Saccharomyces cerevisiae S288C: one gene and its partner. The protein of the gene in region 2 interacts with the protein of the main gene of each other region in a pairwise test. Each region holds a gene or a part of one and is shown on either strand. Other genes may lie near its edges.

Region 1 (3,414 bases), on a different chromosome or scaffold from region 2:
CTTTTGCTGTTACCGCCATTGGTAGTGTTGCCAGACATTCCAAAGGGAGATGGGCCTCTACCTTGATCTTGTGCCGCCGAGGAAGGCCCATTAGTACCACTCAAGTAATTGTTCTTGTTATATGGCTGCCGCTGCGATGAGCCAAACGATATTGAGCTCCTTTTATTGCCATTGTGAAAGGGATCCATTTGAAGGGCGTGTATTTGCTCCTATAATTCCTTTCCTTCTTGTTGTCTGTTGACCCTTTAGGTTGTATGCCACTCTCGAAAACCTAAAGAACTGATTACTAAATTATTTATACAAGATTTCAGATGACAAGATGGTTCACCCCTTGCCCCTGGTCTTCCTCCCAGTAATTATTCATATTCCATTTTTTTTCATAAACGCACGCTAAGGAAAAAGAAGAGACTGAAAATTCTTGCATATTAGAATATAAAATGATATATACTACATTTATATACATCCTTAAACTGTGAAAGAAAGAATAGCGATACAAATGTCTAGGCAGTCCCTAGGACAGTGCCGGAGTTGTCATTGTGGAGAGGCAATGGTGTTTCTGTGGACATTAACGGTTCGTAATCTTTAGTTCTGTCGATATCCTCATCTCTGTAATACTTAATTCCCCAAGGTATTAATCGAATTAAACCGTCTAAACTTTTTTCGATTTTGGTGATGATCCATCCTGGTGGAGTGATCTTGTTAAACCACGATTCCTTGTAGCCTATGGCGTAACCGACACATAAGCCGAAAAAATGACCCCAGAAACTGGAGCCAGGTATAACGACGGCAATTGCGACTAATAGTACTAGGGGTGTATATAATGTCGGAATTGAGTAGTCTGTGCGAAAGATCCTTGTTCTAGGGCGGATCTGTGATTCTTTAAAACTATAGTATGCGAATAAGGTGAAACACCACCCACTGGCGCCTGCAACTAATGCTTCTGGATATAGCAACTTACCCAACAAACAGTACAGAATTCCGGCAAATAGAGCACTCAGGTTCAAAAAAACACCTGTGTACACAGTCCCATGCGTTTCTTCGAAGAGATTCAAGGGTGCCCAGATGGCTAGCACATTGAACAGTAAATGAGGCAATGATAGGTGAATTAAAGGATAAAGCGATAGCCTGCTCATTTGCAGTTTGAACAATGACTCTGGCGCCAACGACAGGTCTTCCCTTAGGGCAAAAATAAAACTTAACAGGTAAATAGCGGTTAGAAATACCACAAGGCCTGTGGTCAACGCAGCTGGTGGATGACCACCGGGAAAAACGTACGACTTCCAATTCATAGCACGACCAAATAGCACAACCTAACAACCAGAGTGAATTGCTGTTCTCAGTGCTTCCAATTAAGCCTTTCCCATCCCCCTATTCTTCTTGTATCGATGCAGTTCAAAAAAAAAAAAAAAAAGAGGCTTTAGATCTCAAAGGGCCGAAAAAAGTGAAAAATTTTCTCGAGAAATCATAAAAGCAGCCATCGCCATATATAAACAATCTATGCATATGTATGCAGCATGGCATCGCATCTTTCTTGGCGACCCGGTAGTAGCATTTAACTTCCATTAGAACCATATAAAATGCATGGGCCTACTTCAAAAGCTATTTCCCGCAATGTGAGAAGCGTGAAGAGACCAAGAAGAGCACCTAGGCCCGTGGTCTCCACGCAGGCTATGAACAAGTTGTCTAACGTAACACTCTCTGCTGAACAAGAAAAGTTGAGAGAGCGCGTTTTGTCGTTCATGCGTTCCAACTTATCTCAGTACAAGTCTGACTGGAAACATCCGGCCATGTTTGTAATCCAAGGGGACGCAGGTACAGGCAAGTCTGTGATTCTAAACTCCTTGTTCAATGAAATTCAGAAACTATCCCAGTTCTCACCTTCTTCTGAAGATATCTTACATGGGACACATAATTATCTGGTAGTCAACCATCCCGAGATGTTAAAGTTATATATCCGGATTAGTGACAGTTTCAAATATATTTCTAAATCGTCACTAGAACGGCCCACTTCGTTGATCAACAATCTACAGAAGAGAAAAGTCATGGCCGATGTAGTCATTGTAGATGAAGCACATTTGTTGGCCACTTCTAAGGATGCTTTCAAAAGATTTTATGGCGAAAACCATCTCAAAGACTTAATGTCCCTTTGTAAAGTGCTTGTATTGGTTTACGATGATAAGCAAGCTTTAAGAATGGGTTCCTATTGGGATGAAGGTTCTAATAACGGTGCCACTTTAAAGGACTTTTACAACGAGATTCCACCAAAATCCAGAGACTGGTACACTTTAAAACAGCAGTTTAGGGTTGCTGCCCCACAAAACGTGTTGAACTGGATTGACCAAATTAGTGTCGCAGGTAAAATCCCACCAATTGAATCTGTGCTATCTAAGGGCAATGCAGATTGTGCTGACGATAAAATTAAGAATTTTGATTTCAAAATTTGGGATGATTGTGGCGCCATGTACGAGGCAATCAAGGAGAAAGACCGTCAATACGGCCAATGTAGGATGCTATCTACTTACGATTTTCCCTATCGCTTGGACGGAAAAGACTATTACGTTGAATGTGGTGACAATTTCAAAGTTCGCTGGGATCGCTATACTCCACGTGAAGTGACGCCTTGGAGTGAGCGTTGCGACACGATTGATGAGGTAGGTAGTGTGTATACTATCCAAGGGTTTGATCTGAATTATGCTGGTGTAATTTTGGGCCGTTCCATTGGGTATGATGCGGCTAATGACTGCATCAAACTAAGACCAGAGCTGTATGACGATAGGGCCGGTTTCACCAAAAAGAAAAACATTCACAATGCAGAGGACGTTAAGCAAAAGATTATTATGAATAGCATTAATGTCCTCTTAACTCGTGGCGTGCGTGGTCTGTATGTTTATGCATACGATCCTGAATTAAGAGAGAGACTGCTTCGTCCATCAAAAAAATAGGAAGTACATAGTATAGACAAATTTTATAAATATTAACTTTTATTTGTTGCGATCTTCACTAATCTACGCAGATTTTGCCTTCGGTATATTAGCCTTCTTCTTGTTGAGTGCTTCCCAAGTGATTCCACCAAATACTATAAACATCCCCACCCATTGCTGGAAACGTACACTCTTACCGAAGACAATAATACTCAAAATCATCGAGACCATTTTCCTGGTGACTGTTATCATGATCAAAACTAAAGAGCCAAATTGTTCTAGAGTATAGAAAATAAAGCATTGTCCCATAGCGCCACAGAACGAATAAAGCATTAAATAGCCCCACACTTGTGGGTCCATCGTCAATACAGAAACGGCATTATCCCATTGTTTGCAGTCGATCACAATAAAATACAAAATATTCCACAATATCACGAAGAGGTTCAGTGTAAACATCAAGTGTGCACCTGTTATCAAAGTTTGTTTTCCCTTT
Region 2 (3,219 bases):
TGGCCCCCCACCTATGATTGCCAATCTTTTTTTGTCATTCACTGTCATGCCTAGTTACTTCTTGTTATTTCTCGCTTCCTGCTTGAATTTTCTGTATTATTGTATTTTCGACTTGTATAAAAACAGTGGCCCATTTAAATACAGTCCCAAATAACGACTGCGTTTTTGCAGTGGCATTTATCCTTGATATGAGGCTACAGGATTATCTTGCATAATGGCTTTTCTCGGCAAAAAGATGTCTGGCGCTTCCTATGTAAAGGTAATATCATGTGATTAAGAGTGAAAAGAGGAATTTAAAAGGTAGAAAAGGGTTCATGGAATCTTTCATAAAGCAGAACATTAATACTTGCCGCGTTGAAATGAGGTGCGATTTCGTGTTGTGGACGGGACATTAAATTCATCACTTATATAATTAAATATAACGTTATAGTAGATCGTCTCAAAACGGTATAACAACCCGCGCCCACCCTTAAATAGTATTACTTTTGTTCAAGATTAGCTCGAATGGTCGCTGGCAAACTGTTGAAGAACTAGATCGTTTCATGATTAACATCTTGGCGACGCAGAAGTTAATGATATAGAAATAGTGGACTATTTTGATTACTGAGGCTGTAGCCAATAAACGATAACATAAAGGGGGGGATATATAAACTTGTGTCAAAGACTAGTAACGTACGAGTGCTAAATATTATACATGTAATGTTAACGTAGTTTATCATTATACTCAGTGGGAACAAATAAAGGGAAGGGTATGAATGAGGAAGAAATACGAAAAATCCCGGATAAAAACAAAATAGATACAAATAGTATCAAATTTGTAATATTTGTCACCATCTTAATGGCAGGCGAGGGAGCTGTCATCTATCTCAGGACTATACGAAGTACACCAGCTGTAATTACCCCATATTGCCCCACACACGACAGCTAACATTAACCAACCATTATAAGTCATGAATACAAGCATGAGCATGAATGAGAATCCCACTTGCAAACCATATAGAATACTATTGGACACTTTGTCGGCTTGGTTGATCTTGGTCAGAGATCTATTTGGTAACAATACTCTCTGGGATAATTGTCTCTTATGGACACAGTACTTTAAGTACTCATAGAGGTAGGCTAGACCAAAAATTGCTAAACAACTTAAAATCAGTCCAGGCAGGGTCTTGATATGCCACCATTCAAAGACGACACACGTATTCTTGTATGACCACGAAAATAGCATATTCATCGAACAGGTATCATCTCCATCTCCCATATGCATATCACTGTGGTCGTGGCCCGCATTTCCTTCCATCTTGTGATTCATGCTATCCATCTTTTTTGAGTATCCAATTAACGAAGACGTTACCAGCTGATTGAAGGTTCTCAAAGTGACTGTACTCCATGTTTTCTTATCATCCATGTAGTTATTTTTCAAACTGCAAATTCAAGAAAAAGCCACGCGTGTGCACCTTTTTTTTCCCCTTCCAGTGCATTATGCAATAGACAGCACGAGTCTTTGAAAAAGTAACTTATAAAACTGTATCAATTTTTAAACCTAAATAGATTCATAAACTATTCGTTAATATAAAGTGTTCTAAACTATGATGAAAAAATAAGCAGAAAAGACTAATAATTCTTAGTTAAAAGCACTTTACAACTTGTCACCGTGGTGGAAGTTTTCACCGGCGTAGACAGCCTTGTCACCCAATTCTTCTTCGATTCTCAACAATTGGTTCAACTTAGCCAATCTTTCGGATCTAGCTGGAGCACCAGTCTTGATTTGACCAGTTCTCAAACCGACAACCAAGTCAGCAATGAAAGTGTCTTCAGTTTCACCAGATCTGTGGGAAACCATAACACCCCAGTTGGCAGCGAAAGAGTCTTGAGCAGCCTTGATGGATTCAGACAAGGTACCGATTTGGTTAACCTTCAACAACAAAGCGTCAGCAGCCTTCTTTTCGATGGCGGTAGCAATTCTAGCTGGGTTGGTGACAGTCAAGTCATCAGCAACAATTTGGATACCAGCGGTCTTGAAGAAGTGAGACCAAGCTTCCCAGTCATCTTCAGCAAATGGATCTTCGATGGAGACAATTGGGTATCTCTTCATCAAGGAGTGGTACATGTCAGCTAATTCGACACCAGTCAACCACTTGGATTTGTCAGATTCTGGGTTCTTGAAGTCCAAGTCGTACTTACCGTCCTTGAAGAATTCAGAGGAAGCACAGTCCAAACCGATCTTGACCTTACCGTCGTGACCAGCAGCCTTGATAGCGTCAACAATCAAGTCCAAAGCTTCTTCAGCGGTTTGAATGTTTGGAGCAACACCACCTTCGTCACCGACGTTACCGGCAGAAGCACCGTATCTCTTCTTGGTCAAAGACTTCAAGTTGTGGTAAACTTCGGAACCAATTCTCATGGCTTCAGCGAAGGTCTTAGCACCAGTTGGAGCAATCATGAATTCTTGCAAAGCCAAAGCACCACCAGCGTGGGAACCACCGTTCAAAACGTTCAAGAATGGAACTGGCAAAACGTATGGAGAGGTCTTGGACTTAGACAAGTCAGCCAAATGTTGGTACAATGGGACGTTCTTTTCAGCAGCAGCGGCTCTAGCAGCGGCCATGGAGACACCCAAGATAGCGTTAGCACCCAACTTGGACTTGTTGGCGGTACCATCCAAAGACAACAAGAAGTCATCGACGGCCTTTTGGTCCTTAACATCTAGGTTGGCCTTGACGAAAGCAGCAGCAATGACGTTGTTGACGTTGTTGACAGCGTTCATAACACCCTTACCCATCCACTTGGATTTGTCTTCATCTCTCATTTCCAAAGCTTCGTGGACACCGGTGGAGGCACCAGATGGAACAATGGATCTGAAAACACCCTTTTCGGTGGTTAATTCGACTTCGACGGTTGGGTTACCACGGGAGTCGTAGACGGATCTAGCGTAAACTTTAGAGACAGCCATTATTATTGTATGTTATAGTATTAGTTGCTTGGTGTTATGAAAGAAACTAAGAAAAGAAAAATAAAATAAAAATAAAAGATTGAGACAAGGGAAGAAAAGATACAAAATAAGAATTAATTACAATTGCGTTTGCTATAAATACGTTTTTAACAATCAACTCTGGTAGGAAGATAATGCTTTTTTTTTTTATATATGCTTGGTGCCACTTGTCACATACAATTCTACAACCTTCGACAAAAATCCAAATGATAGTAAGATCAAAGCCAGAA

Evidence for each region.
Region 1: the proteins of CTR2 (region 2) and RBD2 interact in a protein complementation assay, tested with the Saccharomyces cerevisiae proteins (2 studies listed by BioGRID).

What each region holds. Positions count from the first base shown.
Region 1 is NC_001148.4:84,009-87,422, forward strand, and holds RBD2 (putative rhomboid protease RBD2), read right to left. Parts: upstream 1,290-3,414; coding exon 501-1,289; downstream 1-500. Other genes in the region: YPL247C (uncharacterized protein), read right to left, coding at 1-188; YPL245W (uncharacterized protein), read left to right, coding at 1,578-2,942; UDP-galactose transporter HUT1, read right to left, coding at 3,006-3,414. UniProt on the Saccharomyces cerevisiae protein: Probable rhomboid-type serine protease that catalyzes intramembrane proteolysis.
Region 2 is NC_001140.6:451,058-454,276, reverse strand, and holds CTR2 (low-affinity Cu transporter), read right to left. Parts: upstream 1,406-3,219; coding exon 836-1,405; downstream 1-835. Other genes in the region: FMO1 (N,N-dimethylaniline monooxygenase), read right to left, coding at 1-48; YHR175W-A (uncharacterized protein), read right to left, coding at 570-719; phosphopyruvate hydratase ENO2, read right to left, coding at 1,637-2,950; YHR173C (uncharacterized protein), read left to right, coding at 3,124-3,219. UniProt on the Saccharomyces cerevisiae protein: Provides bioavailable copper via mobilization of vacuolar copper stores and export to the cytoplasm.